Macaca fascicularis: one gene and its partners. The protein of the gene in region 4 interacts with the protein of the main gene of each other region in a biochemical or structural test. Links are inferred from orthologs where the notes say so. Each region holds a gene or a part of one and is shown on either strand. Other genes may lie near its edges. The genes, in order: SP1, FHL2, KPNA6, HIF1A, USP20, RACK1 and NAA10.

Region 1 (4,063 bases), on a different chromosome or scaffold from region 4:
AATCCAGGTGCCTGCAGTAAAGTTTAACCTTCGTGATTGCAAAAAGCAGGAGCTCAACTATCTTGCTTTATGCATAGGCGGTATTTACTATTAACTCCGAAAAATGGAAGTGACTTATCCGCACTTTAGCCTCAAAGCTTGAAAAGTTAACCAGTCGTAAGTGGTTAGCGCCTTTGTCTGGCGGAACTTAACAAAATGGCGTTTTCTGGAATCTTACGGAGACTCTGCATATTGGTCAGCTCAGTATTAACTTATTTGGTGAGCGCTGTCCCCAAATCCCGTTCCGGCTGCACTCGCAGGGCTTGCAGCGACATTGAGGTATCTGCCCGCCTGTCCGCCCACCCGGGAAACGGGTAAGATTTGAGAGGTACTTTATAGGGGCAGTTAAATGAAGACTCAAACAAATCCTAGTGTTGATGCGGAACTGCGCGCCGAATGCCTTGGCTCTGACACCTGTTGAGCTGCAAGACTCCACTAAAGCGTCCCACCTAATGACTGTAACAACGTCCCCTGAGGTGGGCCAATATGGCGACGGTCTCCTCTTGGCACAGCCCTCTTCCCTCCCTCATGATGGGCGGCTCCGGTAACGCCCATTGGCCAACTAGGAGGCGGTGCCAGGCTTACTTCGTTCCCTCATTGGATTGAATAACTGAGGGAGCCGCCAATTCTCCTCTGCCACTCCAAGTTTCCGCCCTCAGAGTTAATCTGGCGTTTAATTGGCTTTTAATTCACGTCAATATGCGTCCTTTCCTGTCTTTTTTCAGTCTTAATCCAATCATAACTTTCCTGGCTGCCCGCCTGATTTCTGATTGGTTTTAATCAGCTTCAGCCTATCCTATTCCTGTCTACTTCTTACCTCTCCTCCCACTAGGATTTTGCCCAAGCATATCCCGGATTCTAGTTGGCCGTTGTTCTGTCATTCCTATCAAAGCTTTCCCTATCCCAATGTCTCAGGGAGCCCGCCTGCCGGTTGACTGGTTTCCTTCCAAGCCAATAATCCCCAGCTCCCGCCCATCTTCACTTCCTGCATCCTTCATTGGCTTTTAACACTGAGAGGGCTGTCTTTTTGGGCGGACACCAGGCACGCAACTTAGTCTTACACGCCTTAGAGAGCAAGCGAGTCTTGCCATTGGAAAACCTCACCGTCTTTCTTCTGCAAGTCCCACCTTTCCCCCTCCCTCATTGGGCGGGGCAGCAGAGAAGGGGCGGGGCATAGGTTGGGCTGGTGGCGCGCTGCTCCCTCCTCCTCACCCCCCCCTCCCTGTCCGGTCCGGGTTCGCTTGCCTCGTCAGCGTCCGCGTTTTTCCCGGCCCCCCCCAACCCCCCCGGACAGGACCCCCTTGAGCTTGTCCCTCAGCTGCCACCATGAGCGGTAAGGATGAGTCCACTCCAGGCTTAGGGGTGGGAGGCGAGTGAGGGGGCGCGCGCGAGGGCCGACCGGGCGATCCCCGCCGTGAGGGGGGGCGGGCGGGAGGCGGCGGCGGCGGCCTAGGTCCCGCCCGGGGCGGAGGGAAGGGAGGGAGACGGGGCAGTGGCTGGGCCTCCGAGGAGGAGGGGGATGGGCCGCCCGCCCCGGGGGAGGGGGCAGCGTGGCCTCGCCCGCCCCCTGCCCGCCCCGGCCACGGGGGACGGGCCTTACCCCCCACTACTCGGCCGCCCGCCTGAGGCTCCTCCCGCCGGGGGCTGGAGCCGCGGGGGCGGCCCGAGCAGTGAAGGCCCCGCCCGGGCCAACCGCTTGTCTGGTCCGTCCTCTGGTCGCCGCCTGCTCCGGCGCCCTCCTCCCCCCACTTTCCGTAGATTTCCCTTCCCCCCGCCCCACCGTCCCGCCCTTTCCACGCCCCTCACCCCGAAACCGCCCTTTCCCTCAGGGCCCGCCCTCCGCCCCGAAACCTCCTGACTACTAACCAGTACACCCCTTTAGTTCCTTAGTAGTATTCACAAATGTTTTCCTACTAAAACTTTTTATTTCTTTTTCCCTTCTCCTCTTGTTACTTTTAATACTTGGGTTTTTGTTTATCTCTCTCTTTTTTTTTGAGAGGGAGTTTCGCTCTTGTCGCCCAGGCTGGAGTGCAATGGTGCGATCTCGGCTCACTGCTACCTCCCGGATTCAAGCGATTCTCCTGCCTCAGCCTCCGGGAGTAGCTGGGATTACAGGCATGCGCCACCACACACGGCTAATTTTGTATTTTTAGTGGGGACGGGGTTTCTCCTTGTTGGTCAGGCTGGTCTCAAACTCCTGACCCCAGGTGATCCTCCTGCCTCAGCGTCTCAAAGTACTGGGATTACAGGCATGACCACCGCGCCTGGCCTCTCCATCTCTTTTAACCTTAATTTTAGCAAGCTTTCCATCCGCCCACATATTGTTTTTTGCCTTACTTGTCCTTTTTTCCCTTAGGATACTTTTTCTTATTTTGAAACTCTTTCAGCATGACTACCATCCTTCACATTTCCTATCCCCAAAGCACTTTTTGAATGTTTTCTTAGTTAATTTTGTGTAAGGGAGAATTGAGGCCCACTTTTGGCACCATTGAGCCTAGTTCATGTCCTGCATGCCCTGCAGCTCCCCTCTGCCCTCCAATCCATTTTCTTTATACTGGCGCCTTTCGCCTTCCTGTTAGTCATTGCTATTTCATCATAGCCTCCTTTTATCCTTCCTACTTCATCTCTTTTCTTCCCTCAAGTTTAAGTTGTTTGTTTTTTAATTGTTTTAGACCAAGATCACTCCATGGATGAAATGACAGCTGTGGTGAAGATTGAAAAAGGAGTTGGTGGCAATAATGGGGGCAGTGGTAATGGTGGTGGTGCCTTTTCACAGGCTCGAAGTAGCAGCACAGGCAGTAGCAGCAGCAGTGGAGGAGGAGGAGGGCAGGTAAGTGATAATAATAGAGTGGGGAAGATGTTGAGAGGATGTAAATATTCTTAGATAATTGCCTTACTCTTCATAGAAAGCTTTTTAGGGAGCTTATCAAAACCATTTTATAGATAAGAAGTAAGAGTATGGAGATCCCCAAAGACAGGAGTTTCAGCAATACAGATAGGTCAGCTTTTTGTTTCTGTTTTTTGCTCCTTGTCTGCACTACGTTGCTGTTTATTTGTTGTATACTGCCCCCTAGGCTGGCAGCTGGGTGTCACTAACTCCTTTCCTCTCCCTTATTTTTGGCCAGGAGTCCCAGCCATCCCCTTTGGCTCTGCTGGCAGCAACTTGCAGCAGAATTGAGTCACCCAATGAGAACAGCAACAACTCCCAGGGCCCGAGTCAGTCAGGGGGAACAGGTGAGCTTGACCTCACAGCCACACAACTTTCACAGGGTGCCAATGGCTGGCAGATCATCTCTTCCTCCTCTGGGGCTACCCCTACCTCAAAGGAACAGAGTGGCAGCAGTACCAATGGCAGCAATGGCAGTGAGTCTTCCAAGAATCGCACAGTCTCTGGTGGGCAGTATGTTGTGGCTGCCACTCCCAACTTACAGAACCAGCAAGTTCTGACAGGACTACCTGGAGTGATGCCTAATATTCAGTATCAAGTAATCCCACAGTTCCAGACCGTTGATGGGCAACAGCTGCAGTTTGCTGCCACTGGGGCCCAAGTGCAGCAGGATGGTTCTGGTCAAATACAGATCATACCAGGTGCAAACCAACAGATTATCACAAATCGAGGAAGTGGAGGCAACATCATTGCTGCTATGCCAAATCTACTCCAGCAGGCTGTCCCCCTCCAAGGCCTGGCTAATAATGTACTCTCAGGACAGACTCAGTATGTGACCAATGTACCAGTGGCCCTGAATGGGAACATCACCTTGCTACCTGTCAACAGCGTTTCTGCAGCTACCTTGACTCCCAGCTCTCAGGCAGTCACCATCAGCAGCTCTGGGTCCCAGGAGAGTGGCTCACAGCCTGTCACCTCAGGGACTACCATCAGTTCTGCCAGCTTGGTGTCATCACAAGCCAGTTCCAGCTCCTTTTTTACCAATGCCAATAGCTACTCAACTACTACTACCACCAGCAACATGGGAATTATGAACTTTACTACCAGTGGATCATCAGGGACCAACTCTCAAGGCCA
Region 2 (4,062 bases), on a different chromosome or scaffold from region 4:
ATCAGAAAGAAGATAAATGCAGAATTAATGTTTCATCATTTTAGGACTTGTTTTTACAAACTGCAGCTTAAGGCTCACCATTTGAGAACTAGGAGACCATTTCCTAATATGTAACGATAGCGACAACACAGCTAGGTAGCTGTCAGGGGCTGGGAGCCTTTTCTACACAAACTTTGCTCTGAATTTCAAAATACTAGCCTGCCTTGACACTTAGTGGAAATTCAGGGAGGGTGGCCTTAACTCAGGTTCTTCAGGGAAGTGTCCCGTTTCAGGGACACCGTGGGGTGGGGTTAGGGGACGGCTGTATTCCGCACATCTAGTTCTGGCTGGGCTTATGGCAAGTCTCAGTCCTCTGGAGTCACCTGAGTGACTGAGGGATGAGAGGCATTTCTGATCCCGTAATATACTTACATGGTTTTGCCATCTACCGGACTCCAGTTCAAATCTCAGCTGGCACAGTTACCTTTCACGTGGCCTTGAGCAAATCTCTCTGAGCTGAACTTTCCTCACCATAAATCTGGTAAAAATCTTTACCTTAAGGAAGTGTGGATCAAATGAGATACCAGGTGGAGCTAGTGCTCACAGAGTGGAAGCTAAGGTGATGAAACCCTTGATTCTCAAGTTCTGTGATTCCATGATGGAGATCCATGAGGGCTACCAGATGGGGAGTATCAACTAAAAGAAAGCAATCACGGAGTTCTTCCTGCCTTCTCTGGAGGATGTATTCCTATGAGCTGCCCTGAATGTTAAAAATAATACACCTGCCCCCAAAGTGCCTAGGACGCCTTTGTTGTCCACCTGCTCATCGTCCAGCGGTTTCTGCAAGTGGACCAGTTACCTGCTCAGGAGCAAACGTTTCTATCACGATGCACCCTCTCCCAGGGATGGGCTCAGCCTGTGCTCTCCCTGCTACAATGTTGAACAGTGCCATCTGTCCCTACCCAGCGTCAGCCTCACTCAGAGGGCACAGGCTTGGAGTGTGGGAGGCACGCTCCCAGCTCACTTTGCTTTTCCCGCCCTGGAGGGGAATCCAGGATGTCTAACTGGTCTTCTGGCCCCGAGAGGGAGAGGTGGGGATAGGACCTTCCTTTAGTCCCCTCCCTAGTGGAACGAACGATTCTTTACGGTCATCTGTGGGGTTCTTTTCGTAAAGAAGCATCTGCAGGGTAAGAAGGAAAAAAATCCACCGTGCAAATACATCCCAGGCACATGCCTCCTGAGAAGTGGCCCCCTCCTCCCTCCGCCGTCCCCGGCACCTCCTCGGGCTTCGCCAGCTTCCTGCTCCTGGGAGCAGGCAGAGATCCCGGCGTGGGCAGACCCCTGCCACTGGCGTCCAGGCCCCGTCCGAAACTCACGCCCACGTCGGAGGAGACTCTCGGGATAACCACGGTGCTCCCAAGACCCGGAGGGCAAGAAGAAAGAGCCCTGGCAAACAAAGGGCATGGGCCGGGAGCGCCGCAGCCCGGGGCGGGGGCACGGCGACCGCTAGGCCAGGGGGCGCCCGCCCCCAGCGCCCCACGCCCGGTGCCAGCGAGCCGAGGCGTGCATCTCCTTATATGGTCAAATGACACGGAGGGGGTTCTCGAGGGCGGGAGCCGCGCAGCGCTCCACTCGGCCGGCAGCGGAGCAGCAGCCACCAGCCGCCCGCGCCCGCCCGCGCCGTCCGGGAGTCCCCGGGCCGCTGCGGCGCCGTGAGTACCTCCAGCTCCCTGCGCCCCGGAGGGAGGCCGAGGGGCTTAGCCACCAGGACTCGGAAGAGGGGGCCGAATCCGGTGCGAGACCCGGGGAGAGGGGAGCAGATCCGGAGTTGGGGAGACCGGTGAGTGGAGAGGAGAGCTGTGGGTCGGAGAAGACCACTGGGAGAGGGGAGCCGAACCGTGCGGAGAGAAGCCGGGAGAAAGGAAATGAGCTGTAGGGTAGACCCGGGAGAGGGGAGCAGATCCCTGGGGGCTGGGAGTGGGGAGACCACGGGAAGAGGGGAGCGGAGCAATGAGAGGGGGCTAGACCCTGGGGGCGCTGGAGCTCAGAGGAGCCCACGGACCCATCCCCAGAGGGGGATTACAGCCCAAGTCCTCACCAGGTGGGGCACCGCCATGCGGGCAGGGGCTTGGCTAGCCTGGGTAAAGGCTGGCCGCGGGTCCCAGCCGGCGGCTGCGGGGAGGTGACGCTGTCCCCTTGCTTCAAGGCCCGACTCCGGAGCCGGTTGTCCTGGCACGGTGGTCTGCGCAGGGGTGTCCGGGCTATTTCCCTTTGGTAGAAATAAGTGGAGCTTGCAGTGTGACCTCACTCCTTGACTCGTGTAGACATTTAATAACTGAACCATTCGGTTAAAAAAAAAAAAGGCGTATTTTAAATGAAAAAGATTCTAAGTTTTTCTTAAGTTGCACTCGTGTGATATCTTAGCATACTAGAAATTGAGGGAAGAAAATACTGTTTTTCAGATTTTAAATGAATCAATCATATTTACTTTCATATCCCCAGTCAGGTTTTAATTGGAAGTAGGCTAACCCCGTTAGCTGAAATGTGTAGCTGGCCTCCAAGCAGCAGTGAACTTAGACAGCACTGAACTTAAGGCCCGCACTCCCTTCCACATATTTTGGAAGGTAATAAATCACAATTTGGGCTTAGAATCAGGAGAACTGTCTTCAAAACACAACTCCAAATACATCTCACATTTTTGGTGCTGACTCTACTAACGAATGTTTTATAATAATATATTAAAGAAAAGAGGTTTTGCACTATCCTGACGATGTTTTAGACAAAAAAAAAAAAAAAATTGCAGCAAGTCTTAGAAGTACAGGAATTCCTAGTCTATCAATTTAATTTTAATAAAATCAAACTCAAAGAACATTTCATTGTGCATTTATATAAAATTTTTTCAAGTGTTACTGGATTTAGATCACCCTCCAATTTAGAAGATCATCAATTGATACATAGAATTGTGTTTTCATGGTGTTTATTAGCCTGCCATGGTTTAAAATGCGTTTACACCATCATATGTCGATGAAGGCTAATGATGGGCTTACTAAAGACCAGAAACTGTTCTGGGCACATAGATTCTGTCTCATTTTAGCTCACGGTCTCACAAATAACCACAGGCAGATGCGGTAGGCTAGAGGATGCGGGGGACTGCATCTAGGCTGCCTGAATTTACATCCGGGTCCCTCAACCTGTGCAGCCTGGGCCAAATCACTTCATGTCGTGGTGTCTCGGTTTCCTTCACTGGGAAACAGTGACAATGATGTTGTCTCTTTGGCAGGGTTGTTAAAAAGTCTGGACATCATAGACAGTGTGTACCTATTTGACAGCCTCATTTTTACAGGTAAAGACACTGAAAACAGAGATCAAAGTAACTTTAACTCAGGGTTTCCCAGGCTGTAAATGGTAGCCCTGAGATCTGACCCCAGGCAGCTTAACTTGAGAACCTGAGTTCTAACCGTAAACACACCACGGGAGGAACATTTGAATATTTATTTATTTTTTAACATTTGAATATTTCTACGAGACCTTATGCTGCATTCTTTGACCCAAGATTGCGTGTTAAGCCACTTCCAGTACTGAAAGATATTTAAATTGCAGTCAAAAACACCCAGTAGAATATTGCACACACACACATACAAATCAGACTAGATATCAGTTTACTCCCGTCCTGTGCTGAGGGCCAGTTATTCAGCCTCTGTGACTCAGGCAGCTTCCTTTGTCAGCACCGGGGCCTGAGTTGGTAAAGTTGGTAAGCGGCTCTCTGACTCAGATGCCCCGAGGTAAAAAGTTCCTTGAGCCTGGGTGAATGGAAATGTCAGACGTTGGGTTCTTCTGTGCGGTTTTATTATGAGAATTTGATCAAAGCCACATTTATTAAGTGTCCATCTCAGGTTGCGTCATACTGAAGCCGCTTCCTCAAGATGACCATCTGAAACGAAATGCAAGTGCTTTCTCTAGGGGCTGAGAACTGTGTCTTCCTGGAGACTAGGCTGGCATTTTGACTTTGGCGTGAGTCAAATGAATTTCCTCTGTCATCCTAAATTGTGGATTTCAGTTTTAGCTCCCATGATGATTACTTTC
Region 3 (3,500 bases), on a different chromosome or scaffold from region 4:
TGTAGTTGCCTTGGACCAACTCTATATGTAGTAATGGAGAAGAGTGCCCACTACCACTCTCCAATTCTATCCAACTAGCAAGAATTCAGTGGGAGAAATGGAAGTTGTACCTTTATCTCCATGATCTCTGGGTACTGAGATATGGGTACTGTTGTGTCTTTTTTCCAATGGCACTTCCAACAACAAATGTATAGAGTTTTTTCCACATCAACCACCCATTCTCTGACACCAACCGTGTGTCCAACAATTTAATTCAATTCTGACACTAACACCTAGAGTTAATGTAGACCTCACAGGTTAGTTCCACAAGACTGCCCCGACTTGAGATACCAGTTGCAAGTCCCAGGGACCATCTGTACTTGATACTCCTATCGCTCAGGAAATTCCAAGAGTTTTAACACTGTGCCAAGAACCAGGACAAAGACCAAATACATTTTTTATTATACCACAGGTACTATAAAGAATCATACCAAATCTAAGCATTACCTGTTCCTGAACATCCTCAAAGTCTGAATTAAGCAGCTCTATAAAAATGGGGACAGCCCCTGCTTCAATGACAATTTTGGTCTGCTGAGAGGTTCCAGAGGCAATATTCGTTAGAGCCCAGGCAGCTTCAAACTGAAAGTGAGATTAAGCAATGATTGAAAGGTCATTTCAGACTGAGCAGCCATGCCTATCAGCTGGCCCAGAACAGTAAGCCTCCTGCCCATGAATTTAAAAAAACAAAAACAACCTCACAAAACACAAGCAAGCCTCTTGCCTACGAATTTAAAACACACACACACACACACACACAAAATACAAGCCTTTCCCCTCCCGTCTTTAGAGAGTGGGAAGATGCAGTGATGTGATATACATGGGAATAAGACATTGGGCTTCTAGGGTCCCAGGTTTAGTCCTGCACTACCACAGAACCCATGCATCCTTTGCCAGGTCACTTTTTTATTTCCTGAGCTTCACTTTCTTCATTTCTGAAATGAGGATTAGAATGAAATGTGTCTCTCAAAGTCCCTTTCAGCTGAGTTCTGGCAAGTTCCAATGGATTGACCCATCACCCATCTCTGAAACAAGAGACCCAGAGAGGCTAAACGACTTGCCTCGGTGACACAGGTAGTGGACTATACCCTCTGATTTATAAATGAATGATCAGTCTATCATAGTCTTGTGTCTTTCCTTTGAAATTGTTTTAAGAAAGATATTTTGGCTGTGAGGGAACTGATGGTTTCTCCTGAATGTTTCTTAACATTACTTGTATACTTCCCGAGAGATACGTCAATAGAAACATCTCACTACAATTTCTTGGAAGTAGGGCTTTCACCTAATAACCCCTTCCCAGTAGTGGGGGAATGGGGGTGGGGTGGGGATAAGTAATGGGTACAATAAAACCCAGAAAGAATTAATAAGACCTACTATTTGATAACACAATAGGGTGACTATAGTCAATAATAACTACACAATTTAAAATAACTTAAAGTGCATAATTGGATTGTTTGTAACTTAAAGGATAAATGCTTGAGGAAATGGATACCCCATTCTCCATGATTTGCTTATTTCAAATTACAGGCCTGTGTCAAAACATCTCATGTACCCCATAAATATATACACCTACCCTGTATCCCCCCAAAATTAAAAAACAAAACAAGACAAAACAAACCCCTTCCCTTCAGGCCTCACCTGTAATGTACAATTCTCATTCCTCTTCAGAAACTCCACGAACCGATCGACCACTCTTGGAGTGTTGATAACTTCATCTATTGGAGGACTAGGCTCTGGATAAGGGAGAAGGGAAAATAAAAATGTAGGAGAAGCTTTTGCTGATCTCTTCATGGGGGTCAGCTTGCAATCCTTCTTAGATACTTCTGACCACCCCCCTTACAAACATTCCCAAACTCCCTTCTGGTAAGGTGGTTTTAACAATATCTGCGGCCGGGCGCGGTGGCTCAAGCCTGTAATCCCAGCACTTTGGGAGGCCGAGACGGGTGGATCACGAGGTCAGGAGATCGAGACCATCCTGGCTAACACGGTGACACCCCGTCTCTACTAAAAAATACAAAAAACTAGCCGGGCGATGTGGCGGACGCCTGTAGTCCCAGCTACTCGGGAGGCTGAGGCAGGAGAATGGCGTGAACCCGGGAGGCGGAGCTTGCAGTGAGCTGAGATCCGGCCACAGCACTCCAGCCTGGGCGACAGAGCGAGACTCTGTCTCAAAAACAAACAAACAAACAAAAAAAAAACACAATATCTGCTCGTCTTTGAACTGTATAATACAGTTGGAATGTTAAAGAGTAAAGCCAATCCTAATTTAAGTATGCTCATCTTTGGCTTACTAAATGTAAGCAAAAAAGGTGTGGGACAGAAGAGTGCCTAAGGGATGAACAACCGTGGTCTACACATTTCCCTTTCGAGAAAGACCAGTATTCTCTTCTTGGGAAGACTATTTGATAACTGAAACAAGAGGTATTTTTCCTATCATACATTAAATTTTTATTAAGTACCTATGGTGTGCCACACAGTTCTAGGTACAAAGGACACAGGAGAGAAAAAAAACAAAACTCTCTGCCCTCAGCTTACATCCTAGTGGGAAGAGTCATTTTATTATGTTAGAAGATAAATATGATGGGAGGAGAAGAGAAGAATATGTAGGGCAAGGTAGAAAGATAAAAATGTTGAAGTTAGGATTTAATCATAGGAGTAAGGGAGTTGCTACACAGATATCTGGGAATAGAAGACATCAGGCAGAGGAAATATCCAGTGTGAAGGCAGGAAAGTGTCTATCTCGTACAAGGAACACCAAGGTCAGTAGGGCTAGAACAGAACGAGTGAGGGCACGTGTAGTTGATGACATTAGTGAAGAGAACAGAGGCTAAATCATACAGGGCCTCTCTGAGAAGGGCCAGGCTTTGTACCTTTGGAGAGCAGTTTCCGGAATTTCTGTGTGGTTGCTAACTGCAGGTCAGAATCATCAGAAAAGAGCATCTCCACCATCTCTCTTGTGATCACACTCTCCTAGAACATAAAACAAGTTTAGAACTTTGCAAACCAACATTACAGTCAGATGTGAGCACATAATTCTGCTTGACATCCTGTTTTCTAAAAAATTGAGGGCAAGAAGATGGCACAATAGACAGCCTCAGGAGAAGGGGTCTGTTTAATCGATAGGTGCTTCAAGTTGGGACATTTGAAAAGTGATTCCTAATTCTGAGGCAACTGATGGCTTCCCTTAAATGTTTCCTCAGATATTTCTAACACAGTTGAATCTCTGTTGACTTCTGAAGCTGACAAAAGGGTCCACAGAGGAAAGAACTTGTCATGGTTACTGACAAAGCTAGTAGATGATGTGAATGGCCCAATTTCTGTTCTTAGAAGCAGTTACTTTCCAGGTCAGCCTGAGGCACATGCAGGGGCCTTACCCCAGTGGTAGAGCTCACATAAGAGTCCATGAGAAGACTATCGAACATGGCAGCTTCTTCATTAATCAGCTCCACATTTCTCCGTTTAAA
Region 4 (4,077 bases):
AGTAGCTGGAACCACGGTGTCCGCTAAGGTCAATGTTGAATCGTATCTTTGTAGGTCTACTGACCAGTTAGAAAGAGGTGCTGTATACATTGGTTGTTGTCTTATCAGAGTTTGATGCTTTTATATAGACCATTGTTTTTACATGCTAATACAATTGAAAGCCACTACAGATATTTATATTTACAACCCAAAGCTAGGTTTTAACAAGAAACTCGTAACGCAAAGGTGAGAAGTAAAATAATTTAGCGCCAAGTAGAGATATATGTGCAATGCTCCTTTATTGGGCTCAAAATATATTCTTTTGTTTTATAAGACTGACAGGCTTGAAGACACTTTTATATCCATTATGCCTCCAAAGACAAAAATGATTACGTTTTATTTAGTAGCTTGCAAAGTTGCCAAAGACCATTTTTTCTACTCTTTCCCCGAAATTGGTTTATATGCTTATTAAAGTCATTTATACCTATTTGTGAATGCTTAACATAGTTTCAGATTTTAAGATTTCCCTGCAACTTTATTTCCCTTGAAGTTTACAGCAAGAGGAGTTAATTTTTATTTTTAATTGCATTTATTCAGTAATTAAACTCCGCCACAGAAAAACTTAGTGGACAAGGTGAGTTCCCCTGTGTCCCATGGCAAAGGTGCAGTGGGTGACATTGACCCATGGTTAGGTAACCTGGCAAGGAAAGACCCCGTTGTAACACCTCTGAGCAACGAGACCAAAGAAGGGCTTGCAGCCACGAGGCGAAGTCCGCTTTTTTGAACAGAGAGCTCAGCAGAGTTGGGCGGCAGTCACGCTCAGCACTGCGGCCGAAGAGAAAGAGAGCGGCAGCATTACATTGCTGCACGAAGAGTAGGAAAATATGATGCAGGTTTGGGACCAGGCAACCGAAATCCCTTCTCAGCAGCGCCTCCCAAAGCCGGGCACCGCCTTCCTTAGGGGAAGGCGCAGAGTCCCCAAACCCGCGCTGAGCCGCGCCCCCAGCTCCTTTCTCTTTCCTCCGCGGCTAAACACAGACTACCACGTGAGCGCCGCAGCACGTCCCAGCTGTGCCTCAGCTGACCGCCTCCTGATTGGCTGAGAGCGACGTGGGCTGGCCGCCTGCGTGGCTCGCCATTGGCTCTCGAGGAACCCGCCTCCACCTCAGGTGAGGCGGGCCTGCGGGAGCGCGCGCCGGCCTGGGCAGGCGGGCGGGCGCGCTCCCGCCCCCTCCCCTCCCTGCGCGCCCAAGCGCGCCTCCGCCCTTGCCCGCCCCCTGACGCTGCCTCAGCTCCTCAGTGCACAGTGCTGCCTCGTCTGAGGGGACAAGAGGATCACCCTCGCCGTCGCTTCGGCCAGTGCGTCGGGCTGGGCCCTGACAAGCCACCTGAGGAGAGGTTCGGAGCCGGGCCCGGACCCCGGCGATTGCCGCCCGCTTCTCCTGCTTCTGGTCTCACGAGGTGTTTCCCGCCTCGCACCCCCACCTCTGGACTTGCCTTGCCTTCTCTCTCCGCGTGTGGAGGGAGCCAGCGCTTAGGCCGGAGCGAGCCTGGGGGCCGCCCGGCGTGAAGGCATCGCGGGGACCGATTCACCATGGAGGGCGCCGGCGGCGCGAACGACAAGAAAAAGTAAGCCCATTCCCTCGGCCGGCCGCCGGCGCCCCCGCCCGCCGTCCCGCCCTGGGCTCCCGGGCCGGCCTCGGCGCTCCTGGTGGTGGGGGGGCAGCCTTTTTGTTTCTGCGGCTTCTCCCCTCCCCTCTCTTTCCCCCAACCTCGCCGGCCGGGCTCCCCCGCTGTCCACGTCGCCATCTTGTCGTGGGGGGTGGGAGACGCCTCGAAAGTGCTTTCAGGGGCCGGGATCTGAGCCCTGCTTGCCCTCCCCGCCGGCCGTGGGGGCCTCGCGCCGCCCACCTACCCGCCTCAGAAACCCAGCCTGCTCTGTGGCCGCATCCAGAGGGGACTTTACCCAGCCCGAAAACCCCGGGAAGAGAAATGAGCTGCAGCTCGGTAGCCGCGGTTTGCACCCGGAGCTTCCGCTCCTTCCCGCCCCCATCCTCTCCGGTTCCATTGAAAACTCGGCCCTGGGGCGGACCCTGCACGCTGGTCCTGGCTTCCTAGTGGGCTTGGGGCCCTGAGTTCCCGACTGAGGGACTCGCGTGGTCGGATGCGATCTTGTCCTGTAGTTGTCCAGCCGTCGCGGGTGTCTTTGCCTTTGTGCATCCTAGGGATTTGCCGCGATGGCCTTAAGATGCGAACTTTTTAGTTTGCACGTGCAGGTTTTGTTTCGTTTTAAGCGCCTTAAAAAACTTGCCTAGACTGAGAGTCAGAGTAATGGGAATTTAGAGAAATAGCAACATTTTAAAGAGAACTTTAGAATTGGATACTTGAGTTCATATCACCTGTCACGAGAACGCAGATATTATAAATGAATACATGCCTCACTCATTCTTCAAATAATGAAAATGTAGGGGCTGGTTAAATGTAGGCAGACAGTTTTAATGATACTGAAAAAATTATATGATGAGTGAACGAAATGCGGCACTAAAATGTTGCAAAAATTTTCGAACTCTTTCGTTTTCCTGAAACTGAAGTATATTAAAGGAAAACCTTCAACATATATCCAAAGTAAGTTAATCACTCGGTTAGAACTTAATGCAAGTTTTATAAATCACCTTGAAGTTTGAGCCTAAGGGGTACATTAGAGATTAAGAATTGTGAGTTGAACCACTGGTATTAAGAGCGGACTCCCCCATCCCCCAACACACACACAATTTTGTCCACTTTGGTATTTTAACTTTTAAGGAAATCATTTAAGGAATTGAAGATTTAGAGTAAGAGTTTTGGTTAGTAGACTGGCTTTGCTCTTAAATCCTTCCACTCTTCTGGCAGAGAGATTAATTTCCCTAATCAGTATCAGCAGAAGATAAACTTGTTTATATTCTTGCTGTTTTGTAGATCCCTTCTCCTGGTCCTTCTTCAATAGAATATTAAATTCTTAGTTTGTGTACACCAGAGAAGGCACTTACAAAATTCAAAAAGTGAGCAAACAGGTTTAAATTCATTCCAAGAGTTACCAGAAATTAATTGCAGTTTATTTTGCGGAGGTGATTACAGTGCTTTTGATGAAATGATAAAGCGGCAGATTACCTCTGTGTAGTGCCAGTTTTCTATCCTTATATATATTGAATCATACTTAATACAATGTATTAAATTATGCACCAATCAATTCCTTTTTATATACAGTATCGAACTCATTTCTTTGCCATTCATCAGTTCAGAATATCAGAAGCAGTTTTGAAATGAATGAATGAATAAATTAGCTGCTGTTCATCAGCCCCAATTCTAAATGAGTTCTTAGATTTTCCTCAGCTCATCTGTTACTTTCAAAATTTTCTCATTTGAAAACTTAGCAACCTTGGGTTGGATGGATTCATTTCTTAATATAGAAGTTCTTGATATAACTGAAAAGTTAAACACTTAATAAGTGGTGGTTACTCAGCATTTTTAGATGCTGTTTATAATAGATGACCTTTTCTAACTAATTTACAGTTTTTTGAAAGATAACTGAGAGTTTGAGGGATGGGGATTTTCTTCATGCAATTTTTTTTTTTTCATTTTAAATGAGCTCCCAATGTCAGAGTTTGGGAAACAAATTTGTCTTTAAAAGAAGGTCTAGGAAACTCAACCTGAAGAATTGGAAGAAATCAGAATAGAAAATGGGTATAGCTATGATATTTTAGATTTAAGATAGGACATTTCATGTTGCCTCCTAGTTATAGGGACTGAACTTACTTAATAGCACATGTGTTTTGATTTTTAGATTTTTAAGGGAATGTCAAGAGAGTAATGATTCTGTTTCAGGCTTCAGGCCAGACTCCTTCAAAGTTTTCCAAAACAAATAATTACTGAATCATTAAAGTAAAATTGCTGAGAATAGATATTCCTTAATTTCCTTTCATTAACTTTGGCCATTAAAAGTCAAGAAGCTCTCTCATTTATTAGCAAACTTTTCTCGTTATATTTCTATTTTGATTGTCCTTTTGTTTGAGGAAGCAGTATATAGTGGTTAAGAGCATAGGATGTGGAGGCAGATACCTC
Region 5 (3,500 bases), on a different chromosome or scaffold from region 4:
CAGGCAGCAGGTAAAGGAGGGTGGAAGGTGTCCTTACATGACTGCCACTCCATCCATGGCGCTCATTCAGGCAGCACAAGAGGCGACCCAGCCTGGTCCAGCTCTGCCTGCAGGCCTGGCATGAAAGCCCAGGCCGGGGGCCATCTGGGGCAGGAGGCTGGAGGGCAGGAGCCATCAGCCCAGGGCTGAGGCGTACACATGGCTGCACTCTGTCTTGGTCTCATTATTTTATCAAATAGAAAAATGTGGTTGGTTTCAAAGGGGTTCTCTAGATTAAAAAATAAAAATTCTTAATCAAAATTTTTATTTTAGTAAAAGTGAAATTTCGCCTGTGGTTTGGGGAAGTGAAACCCTGTGCCATTTTGAGTGCAATGCAGAGGGGCACAGCACAGGCCCCGAAGCAAGGTTGCCCAGGTTCAAATCTCCCCTCTGCTGGGTGCAGTGGCTCATGCCTATCATCACAGCACTTTGGGAGCCTGAGGTGGGACGACTGCTTGAGCCCGGGAGGTCACGGCTGCGGTAAGCCATGACTGTCCCACTGCACTCTAGCCTGGATGACAGAGTGAGACCCTGTACCCACCTCGCTAAAAGAAAGAATTCCCCTCCACCATTTACTAGCTGTGTGGCCTGTGCAAGTGGCTCAGCCCCCTGAACCTCAGTCTGCCCATCTGTGAAGTGGGGTTAAATGTCAGCAGGTTGCTGGGAGGCACCACTGTCCTCACATGTGTGAAGGGCTTAGGAATGAGAGCCTGGTCCCTGAGACCTGCCAACCAGTGCTCAGCTGCCATTGCGATTTTCCACTCTGGTTTTGGCGTCAAAGTCAGGCCTGGTGGGTCATGGCCTTGAGTGTCCCCTGGGCAGCTCAGATGGCTTACCTGCTGGGCATAGCCTCGGAACATTGGGTTGACCAACTTGATCCCATGAGACAGACTGGTGGGGACCACGTAGCTTGGCCTGTAGGAAGCCCAAACCCATTAGTCCAGGTAGTCTGCCTTGAGCTGCTCATTCCCGAGAGAAGCAGGCAGCCAGCCAGTCAGGCTGGATCAGAGTGAGGCATTTCCTGACATATGGGGAGGGACCTACTCAGCCAGGACCCCCAAGAGGCTCACACATCTCTATAGACAAGAAGAAAATGTCAAGTCATAGCTGCCTCAATTAAGCAAAGAGCTCAAATAAAATGGCATCATTTCCTGCTGGCACACAACAAACTCGCCTAAACATGATTTGTTTTTGTTCTGAAACACTTACTGTGGTTTTCTCATTTCAAAAGACATGTTCATTATTGACAAATCTAAAATTTCAGAAAAGTACAAGAGAAAAACACCACCACTAATGGCACCAGATACTTACCATTAGATTTCTGGGTTTTTCTGTGAAACTACAGATGCATATACAAAAATACATACAGATATACACTTAAACTTGGCTTCTTACACAGCGGAATTATACTGTACCACGCTGGTTTTCTTGTGTTTTTGTTTTTTGTTTTGTTTTGAGACAGTCTTGCTCTGTTTCCCAGGCTGGAGTGCAGTGGCGCGATCTTGGTTCGCTGCAACCTCCGCCTCCCGGGTTCAAGTGATTCTCCTGTCTCAGCCTCCCAAAGTGCGGGGACTACAGGTGTGCGCCACCATGCCCAGCTAATTTTTGTATTTTTAGTAGAGATGGGGTTTCACCATATTGGCCAGGCTGGTCTCGAACTCCTGACCTTGTGATCCACCCGCCTCGGCCTCCCAAAGTGCTGGGATTACAGGAGTGAGCCACTGCACCCGGACTTTTTTTTTTTTTTTTTTTTGAGACACGGTCTCACTCTGTCGCCCAGGCTGAAGTGCAATGGCATGATCAAGGCTCACTGCAGCCTGCCTCAACCTCCTGGGCTCAAGCAATCCTCCCACCTCAGCCTCCTGAGTAGCTGGGACCACAAGTGCAAACACCACGCTTGGCTAATTTTGTAGTTTTTGTAGAGACGGGGTCTTGCTGTGTTGTCCAGGCTGGTCTCAAACTCCCAGGCTCAAATGATTCTCTTGCCTTGGCCTCTCAAAGTGCTGGATTTACAGGTGTCAGTGACTGCGTCTGGCCCCACGCTGGTTTTTAATCTGGTTCTACACGTAATACATATTTCTCCCATGCTGGGTTTTTTTTTTGTTGTTTTTGTTTTTGTTTGAGACGGAGTCTGGCTCTGTCGCCAGGTTGGACTGCAGTGGCGCAATCTTGGCTCACTGCCACCTCCGCCTCCTGGGTTCAAGTGATTCTCCTGCCTCAGCCTCCCGAGTAGCTGGGACTACAGGTGCGTACCACCATGCCCAGCTAATTTTTGCATTTTTATTAGACACGGGGTTTCACCATGTTGGCCAGGATGGTCTCAATCTCTTGACCTCGTGATCTGCCTGCCTCAGCCTCTCAAAGTGCTGGGATTACAGGCGTGAGCCACTGCGCCTGGCCCTACGCTGGTTTTTCATCTGCTTCTACACATAATACATATTTCTATGTGCTCATTTTAAATTATTCCCAACTTTGACTTTTCCTGGAGAAATAGATCTAATCACAGACTCTGGTCTTTAAATTCATTCCATACTGTGCCAGAAGCTCCATCCAGTCTGTGCCCCCCTGCCCCATACCTCCTCCACACGCTCCTCAGCTGTGGCTGAGGCCGGGTCACCATGTCTCTTGGCAAAGACATCTACCCAGTGGCTGCTGGCTAGGGTCAACAGCAGGTCAAATTCTAGCTCACCTTTTGCAGGTTCTATGACCTTGAGCAAGATACTTAAAGTTCTCTGCATCTCAGTTTCCCTATTTGTAAAACAGGATTGGATGCAATTTCCACCCTGCAGGCTTGCTACAAGCATTACCTGGGACAAAATGAGGCAAGTCCTCGCTGGGGGCTGAATCCATAGGAAGAGCTCAATCATGGGTGCTGACAGGAAACCCCAGTCCCCACACACCGCCCGAGGCTAGGGATGCAGCTGCTCACCGTTTCTTGTGCCAGACCTCAGAGACCAGCTTCTGGTAGCTCTTGCACAGGGCTGGCTTTTTGTCTGTGCGCACCAGGCCTCCACACTCCAGGAAGAACTGAGTCAGCGGTGGGCTGGGTGCGAGGGAGAGAGAGAGCCAGGTCAGGAAAGCAAACGAGGCAGGTGGCACGGTTTAGAAAGGGCTGCGTAGCGGGGAGCCCTGAGTGCTCGCGCAGGGAGCACAGTGACCCTGGACCCAGAAACGCCTAAAGGTGACTAGAAGGCTCCTACCAGTTATGAGAAAATTGTATCCTCCAAAATTCATCTGTGAAGCCCTAATCCCCAGTACCTCAGAGTGTGACCATATCTAGAGACAGCGTATTTTTATTTTATTTTATTTTATCTCATCTTATCTTCTTTTATTATTATTTTTATTATTTTGAAACAGAGTCTCACTCTGTTGCCCAGGCTGGAGTGCAGTGGTGCAGTCTTGGTTCACCGCAGCCTCTGCCTTCTGGGTTCAAGTGCTTCTCCTGCCTTAGCCTCCCAAGT
Region 6 (3,944 bases), on a different chromosome or scaffold from region 4:
CTCTGGTAGGCCAAGGTGGGAGGATTGCTTGAGGACAGGAGAGCAGCCTGGCCAACACAGTGAGACCCCATCCATAAAAATTTTTATTTATTTTGAGATGGAGTCTCACCCTGTTGCCCAGGCTGGAGTGCAGTGTGCGATCTTGGCCCACTGCAACCTCCGCCTCCCAGGTTCATGCCATTCTCTTGCCTCAGCTTCTCGAGTAGCTGGGACTACAGCATGCCCAGCTAATTTTTTTGTATTTTTAGTGGAGACGAGGATTCACCGTGTTAGCCAGGTGGTCTTGATCTCCTCACCTCGTGATCCGCCCACCTTGGCCTCCTAAAGTGCTGGGGTTACAGGCGTGAGCCACCGCACCTGGCCCTTTTTTGAGATAAAGTTTCACTCGTTCATTGCGCTGGCTGGAGTGCAATGGCACAATCGTGGCTCACTGTAAACTTCGCTTCCTGCGTTTAAGCAATGCTCCTGCCTGAGCCTTCCATGTAGCTGGGATTACAGGCACCCACCACCACACCCGGTGAATTTTTGTGTTTTTGGTAGAGACGGTTTCACCATGTTGGCCAAGCTGATGTCAAACTCCTGACCTCAGGTGATCCACTCACCTCGCCCTCCCCAAGTGCTGGGATTACAGGCGTGATCCACTGCGTCCAACCCCTGTCTCTAAATTTAAAAAGAAATTCTTATCTGGAATCTAAAGGGATTCTGTTGAGCTTAAAGGTTTGGGTTCTGGGTTTTTGAAAGGTGCTGCCAGCCATCATCTGGCTGGGGGGGGGGTCTAGCATTTCATGGGATAGGACTGTTTCCCCTTATTTCCTTTTCATCCTCTGTAGGATGAGAGCCACTCAGAGTGGGTGTCTTGTGTCCGCTTCTCGCCTAACAGCAGCAACCCTATCATCGTCTCCTGCGGCTGGGACAAGCTGGTCAAGGTGAGCTTCAAGCCAAGGCAGGGGCTTTACCAGTCAGGGTGTGCTGTGCTCCCAGGTGGTCATACGCTCCAACTCCTGTGGAAAGCTTTACAGATTCTCTCAGTTGACTCTTTCTCTTGTCACATGGTTTGAAGTAGCTAATTGATGTCCCTTGTAAGTGAGCACACTGCATTGGATGTGTGTTACAATCTAAGGTTAAGTGGCCAGGACATGTTACTGAATGATAAATGGCTACTGTAGCCAGGAATGCCAAGCCCTTTTTTGTTGGACCTGACCCTGGCTGATCCAGAGCCAGGATATTCACCTGTCAACTTCACATCTATGCAGGTATGGAACCTGGCTAACTGCAAGCTGAAGACCAACCACATTGGCCACACGGGCTATCTGAACACGGTGACTGTCTCTCCAGACGGATCCCTCTGTGCTTCTGGAGGCAAGGTATTTGGGGACCAGGAGTCTCCTGCTCAGTGGAAGACCAGCATCATGGAAGGAGCACTTAGCCAGCGTCTCTAACATAAAACGGCAAACATTAGTCAGGATGGTTTCAGGAGGATAATGAGATAATGGCAATCTGAGAATGTTTCCAAAGATTACTTTCAGCAAATGACAGTTAAGGCATACTGTCTGGAAGAAAACGATTATTTTCTATAAGGTTGGGTTTATTTTGAGACGGAGTCTCACTCAGCCGCCAAAGCTGGAGTGCAGTGGCATGATCTCAGCTCACCGCAACCATCTCCCTGGTTCAAGCAATTGTCCTGTCTCAGCCTCCCTAGTAGCTGGGATTATAGGCACCCACCATCATGCCTAGGTAATTTTTGTATTTTAGTAGAGACAGAGTTTCACCATGTTGGCCAGGCAGGGCTTGAACTCCTGACCTCAGGTGATCCACTGGCCTCAGCTTCCCAAAGTGCTGGGATTACAGGCGTAAGCCACAGTGCCCGGCCTAAAGTTGGTTCCTCGAAGCAATTGATGAGATTGAGATCCTGGTTTTCAGAAACGATTAGAGTGATTTATGTAAGTTGGGAGGGGTTTTTTGATAGGGTTGGTAAGGTCTTAACCTTAAAGGAAAGGCATACAGAGATCAATGTTGGTACTTGAGTCATTAGTTTTCAAAGAAGCCTGAGGTAATGGAGGAAAGGTAAGAATTGATTCTGACAGAATCTTGAGATGGGCAGGATTAACATCTGGAAGAAGTCACTGTGTCCTGATTTACCTTACCTGTCTGTCCAGGATGGCCAGGCCATGTTATGGGATCTCAACGAAGGCAAACACCTTTACACGCTAGATGGTGGGGACATCATCAACGCCCTGTGCTTCAGCCCTAACCGCTACTGGCTGTGTGCTGCCACAGGCCCCAGCATCAAGATCTGGGTGAGTGTGGGTTACAGTGGACTGGGTACCTGGCTGCCCTCTGAGCCTTGACAATGTTTTGGTTACAATATATGCCATCTGACTCCCACCTGGTAGCTAAGCCTATTCAACCTCCACATAATTGACATTTTGGTCTGGGTAACTCTGTTGTGATGTGCTGTCCTGTACATTTTAGGATGTGTAGCAGCATTTCCAGCTTCTAGATGTCGGTAGCAAACCATCCTTCCACTAGTGGCAACTAAAAATGCATCTAGGCGTTGATACATGTATCCTAGGAAGCAGAATCATCCCTTTATAACTTGAGAATCTTGAGGAGGGGACTCTGTCATTGCTAAGTCTTAAGGTTGCTTTTGCCCTGTTCCCCAGGATTTGGAGGGAAAGATCATTGTAGATGAACTGAAGCAAGAAGTTATCAGTACCAGCAGCAAGGCAGAACCACCGCAGTGTACCTCCCTGGCCTGGTCTGCCGATGGCCAGGTAAGTGGTCTGTGTCCTCTCAGGTGACTCGGCTTCCAATTATTTTTCTCCCTCATTCTGTTAGCACATTTAGTCTGTCAGACACAAGAGCAGTGTCTTTGGCATAAAGTGGAATGACAAGCCAGGTTGATGAGAGGATGCCCTAGTTTGCCATGCCAGTGAATGTGTTTCAGCATCAGAGGGAAGACTGATGTGGAGCCCAGTAGCTATCAGCCTTCAGTTAATACCTTAATTCATTTGACCTGTTTTCAAATGTCTAGATCCTTATCACCAGCTGTTTCTTCCTCAAGGAATACATAACCACAACTTAAAATCTGGCTGTTAAAATGGGAGGGGTTTCTTATAGTCTGCCCAGTATGGTGGCACATGCCTACTGGAGGCTGAGGTGGGAGGATCTCTTGAACTGCAGGGTCTCAAGGCTGCAGTGAGCCAGGATCATGCCCCTGCGCTCCAGCCTAGACAGTGGAGCAAGACCATCTCAAAGAAAGCCACTTGTGCTGAATCTAGTGACTGCAGAGTTTACGCCAGCCTGACCTATCCCTGTCATTTCTCCCCTGCAGACTCTGTTTGCTGGCTACACAGACAACCTGGTACGAGTATGGCAGGTGACCATCGGCACGCGCTAGAAGTTTATGGCAGAGCTTTACAAATTAAAGAAGAAAAAACTGGCTTTTCTGGCTTTTAGAAGGTTTTTTTTTCTTACATGCATAAAAGCTCCATCCTATCTACAATGCTTACACATTAAGTTTGCACTAGCAAACTGGATGCAAGCTGTGGACTAAGTAAACAAGGCCCTGAGGGGGAAGGAGAGCTGTCAGTCTAAGTTCTCAGGATTGGGGGAGCATCAAGTGGATGTTTGTTAGAAGTCACATAGCAGTTTCCCTGAACTTAAACCCCATCAGCGTCCTACATACCAGGTGCAGATCATCAGGACCTACCTTCAACCTGGGGAACCTTCTTGAGGGAAAGGACTGATTATTTCAAAGTGGTTGCAGTCAATTTTTAGGAAAAGCAGACTCCGCAGGTCCAACCGCTGGCACATAAGAACGGAACAAAGATGAATCCTCATTCCTCTGAAGGTTTGAACATAATTCAGAAAATTTAAACTTCATGTTAGCAGTCTACATGGTCTTTGAGGCAAGTCAAGGGTATTTAATTCTGCAAAGCAGT
Region 7 (2,637 bases), on a different chromosome or scaffold from region 4:
GGCAGGGAAGGGAGGACTCAAGGACCGTTGACAGGGCGTCTGGCTGGGTCATTATACTCAGGACAGCTGTAGATAAGCCCAATGAGCAGTCAGATGTCCACATCTGGAGCCCACGGCTATGCCGCAGAGCTGCTGTAGCCCAAAGCAGGTGTGATTAGGGAGAGAAAAGGTCTGAAGGTGAAGATGGGAGGAGAACTGAAGGATACCAAGAGTGGGAGCCCTGCTGTTGAGCTTTGAGCCTAAGCGGCCCAGGCTTATGCCACAAAACACATTCAGCGTGGCCAAGCAGACCTCCAAGGCAGGGTCTCTCCCTAAGCCCAGGGCCTCCTTCCCGGGGCCACAGCTGCTGAAGGCCATGAGACTGGGGAGTCCCACCTCCAAAGCTCTTCCCTTCTATTCGGACTGGCAGGATGCTCTGGGTCAAAAGGCTGAGGCTCACCTCCCCACCAGAGGACCTGGAGAAACACACCCTCTAAATGTGCACACGCACACACACGAAGTTCCCCAGTGCCACGGAGCGAATTTATTGTGAAAGCTCGTGGGGTGAGGAAGGGATGGGGCAGGCTCTAAGAGGCCGAGTCGGAAGCCTCTGAGCTGTCCTTGACATCTGTGCTCTCTGTGGTCTCGCTGACCTCGCTGAGGTCCTTGCTGTCCCCACCACTATCCTCGGCAGCCAGGCCCTTCTCCTCGCGACAGGCCTCTCCTGAGCTCGGAGGTGAATTGCCTTTGCTCTCCACCTTGTTCTCGATGGCACCCAGCACCACATGCCTGCCCTTCTCCTTCAGCTCCAGGTGCCGCCTCAGCTGCCACCAGGAACCCAGGGAGAAGCAGGAGGTAAAGAGATGGGGCCTAAGTTTCCAGACAAAGGGAGCCTGGCCCTGTCGCTGGCTGAGGAGAGGGGCATAGTGAGGCAGCAGGGCTAGGCAGGACACGTGGGACTGAGTGGGGACACCTGGCTGGAGCCCCAGTCCACTGCTACCTGGGCTCACTGACTACCACGGAGGCCCCCACGACACAGCGTTGCCCCTTGACCAGCCCTGCCACCCAAGGAGCCTGGGGCAGAACCCTGACTCAGAACTACCTCTGAGCAGGCAGGCCACCCACTGGTCCCCAGGCCTCCCCACTTCCCTTCTAAAAGCCTCCTCCCTCTGCCTCTCCCATCACCCTCCAGGCTGCTAGGCAGATGGCCTCCTCTAAAGCCCAACCTAGGAAACTGAGGTCGTGACTCCTGGCAACATAGCCACAAGGGCTGGCATTCAAAGTTGGTCGCACCTCCAGCCACTGTCTCGGGGCTCCCCAATGCCACCCCCGCTTGCCTGGCTTGGCTTCATGCAGGCTCTTACCTCGTCGGCCATCTGAGTGAGGTCTCGCTTCATGGCATAGGCGTCCTCCCCATCTGCATAGTATTTGGGCTCCACTTCACTGATCCTGGGGGCAGAGGGTAGAGAGCAAGGAGGAAGACCCATACCTGGGGGACACCCTCCTCCACTCCTGGTATCATGGCTACTGGAGCAAGATGCCGTGTTTTCTCCCTGAAGGGCTCCTTTCTGAGACAGCAAGTCCGGTGTGACCTGCCCTCTGTTCTCTCCAGCAAAGGCTCCAGGAAACAGCGGCCCGCCCCACCCCTGTCCTGCCCCCGTTCTGTGTCCTTAGCCTGGCTACTAAGGATTCATTTCTGTGGTTTCTTGTGAGCTGAATTCCTGAATTCAGCCTTCCCCTTCCCTCCCTGCCCTGCGTCCTGTCCCTTACTGAGCTGCCTCTCAACAGCCATCAGAACCCAGGAAAGACAGTGAGCTCTGTTTAGGGGAGTCATCCCTAGGCAGCACGGGCCCTGCCTGAGCAGCTCAGGGGCCATGCCTGCACTGGGGAGGCATGTGTGCAGACTCGGGTGGCCATGTCCCTGGAAGGGGAGCTGGACTCAATGGCCTAGGCTGGCCCTGCCAGGCCTAAGACATGAGGATTGTTGACTTAGCTATAAAGCAGTTCCCACCAGACATCCTCATCTGGGTCACAGATCCCTCTTGCCAGCATCCAGCCCAGAGGCCACTGCCCTTCCCAACAGTCCCTCCTCTTCACCCCTACCAAACAGGGGCTGACTGCAGTTAGTGTCCCTCCACGGGCAGCCCACCCCAGCTTCACTTGCAAGCACTTTTTTCCACTGTCTACTGGGCATGCTGACTGCCAGGTCCTCTCTCCTGTGCTAGGCACACGGGGCCTCCCGGTCCTCAGGCAGACCTGCCCCATCCACTAGGCTGCCTGGCCGCCGGTCCTTCCTTCCTGAACGTGCATTCTCCTTGATTCTGCTCTCTCTTGGATTCTTCCAGGTGCTTGGCCATGCTATGATCTGCTCACGCCAGGGACCCACACCTCTTTATTCCCAAACATTACTAAACAGCCCGTGTGCCCTTCACCAGCCTCTGCCAGCATGGGCCAGAGCTCCTCCATCACAACACACACGGAGCACGTTTCAGCAGGCAGGTGCTGTCTCCATGCCGGCTTTTCAACCATCAGCCACCGAGTGAATGTGGAGGCATCCTGGCAGCACTGGGGTCCACAGCGTCCTCCCCACATCCGGCCCACCCCTAGCCTGGAAGGCAACTCAGCCGGTCTCAGGTGCCCTGGTGGGCCAGACCTGGG

What was found.
Region 1: the proteins of HIF1A (region 4) and SP1 form a complex in vitro, tested with the Homo sapiens proteins (2 studies listed by BioGRID). The link is inferred for Macaca fascicularis from reciprocal best matches to the Homo sapiens genes HIF1A and SP1.
Region 2: the proteins of HIF1A (region 4) and FHL2 form a complex in vitro, tested with the Homo sapiens proteins (2 studies listed by BioGRID). The link is inferred for Macaca fascicularis from reciprocal best matches to the Homo sapiens genes HIF1A and FHL2.
Region 3: the proteins of HIF1A (region 4) and KPNA6 form a complex in vitro, tested with the Homo sapiens proteins (2 studies listed by BioGRID). The link is inferred for Macaca fascicularis from reciprocal best matches to the Homo sapiens genes HIF1A and KPNA6.
Region 5: of the proteins of HIF1A (region 4) and USP20, one has a biochemical effect on the other in vitro, tested with the Homo sapiens proteins (2 studies listed by BioGRID and IntAct, with this or other methods). The link is inferred for Macaca fascicularis from reciprocal best matches to the Homo sapiens genes HIF1A and USP20.
Region 6: the proteins of HIF1A (region 4) and RACK1 form a complex in vitro, tested with the Homo sapiens proteins (2 studies listed by BioGRID). The link is inferred for Macaca fascicularis from reciprocal best matches to the Homo sapiens genes HIF1A and RACK1.
Region 7: the proteins of HIF1A (region 4) and NAA10 form a complex in vitro, tested with the Homo sapiens proteins (4 studies listed by BioGRID and IntAct, with this or other methods). The link is inferred for Macaca fascicularis from reciprocal best matches to the Homo sapiens genes HIF1A and NAA10.

What each region holds. Positions count from the first base shown.
Region 1 is NC_088385.1:60,181,008-60,185,070, forward strand, and holds the start of SP1 (transcription factor Sp1), read left to right. Parts: upstream 1-1,263; 5' UTR 1,264-1,365; coding exon 1,366-1,372; intron 1,373-1,623; exon of another isoform or gene 1,624-1,742; intron 1,743-1,876; exon of another isoform or gene 1,877-1,907; intron 1,908-2,711; coding exon 2,712-2,869; intron 2,870-3,164; coding exon 3,165-4,063. UniProt on the Homo sapiens protein: Transcription factor that can activate or repress transcription in response to physiological and pathological stimuli.
Region 2 is NC_088387.1:9,827,076-9,831,137, reverse strand, and holds the start of FHL2 (four and a half LIM domains protein 2), read left to right. Parts: upstream 1-1,262; 5' UTR 1,263-1,564; coding exon 1,565-1,819; intron 1,820-3,939; coding exon 3,940-3,990; intron 3,991-4,062. UniProt on the Homo sapiens protein: May function as a molecular transmitter linking various signaling pathways to transcriptional regulation. Negatively regulates the transcriptional repressor E4F1 and may function in cell growth.
Region 3 is NC_088375.1:202,872,079-202,875,578, forward strand, and holds part of KPNA6 (importin subunit alpha-7), read right to left. Parts: coding exon 3,411-3,500; intron 3,007-3,410; coding exon 2,907-3,006; intron 1,770-2,906; coding exon 1,675-1,769; intron 619-1,674; coding exon 487-618; intron 1-486. UniProt on the Homo sapiens protein: Functions in nuclear protein import as an adapter protein for nuclear receptor KPNB1. Binds specifically and directly to substrates containing either a simple or bipartite NLS motif.
Region 4 is NC_088381.1:129,533,476-129,537,552, forward strand, and holds the start of HIF1A (hypoxia-inducible factor 1-alpha), read left to right. Parts: upstream 1-1,277; 5' UTR 1,278-1,573; coding exon 1,574-1,608; intron 1,609-4,077.
Region 5 is NC_088389.1:14,041,855-14,045,354, forward strand, and holds part of USP20 (ubiquitin carboxyl-terminal hydrolase 20), read right to left. Parts: intron 3,083-3,500; coding exon 2,969-3,082; intron 955-2,968; coding exon 876-954; intron 1-875.
Region 6 is NC_088380.1:188,333,219-188,337,162, reverse strand, and holds the end of RACK1 (small ribosomal subunit protein RACK1), read left to right. Parts: intron 1-830; coding exon 831-926; intron 927-1,253; coding exon 1,254-1,364; intron 1,365-2,156; coding exon 2,157-2,297; intron 2,298-2,393; coding exon 2,394-2,435; intron 2,436-2,663; coding exon 2,664-2,774; intron 2,775-3,334; coding exon 3,335-3,400; 3' UTR 3,401-3,444; downstream 3,445-3,944. UniProt on the Homo sapiens protein: Scaffolding protein involved in the recruitment, assembly and/or regulation of a variety of signaling molecules. Interacts with a wide variety of proteins and plays a role in many cellular processes.
Region 7 is NC_088395.1:159,995,627-159,998,263, forward strand, and holds the end of NAA10 (N-alpha-acetyltransferase 10), read right to left. Parts: intron 1,429-2,637; coding exon 1,344-1,428; intron 804-1,343; coding exon 567-803; 3' UTR 501-566; downstream 1-500. UniProt on the Homo sapiens protein: Catalytic subunit of N-terminal acetyltransferase complexes which display alpha (N-terminal) acetyltransferase activity. Acetylates amino termini that are devoid of initiator methionine.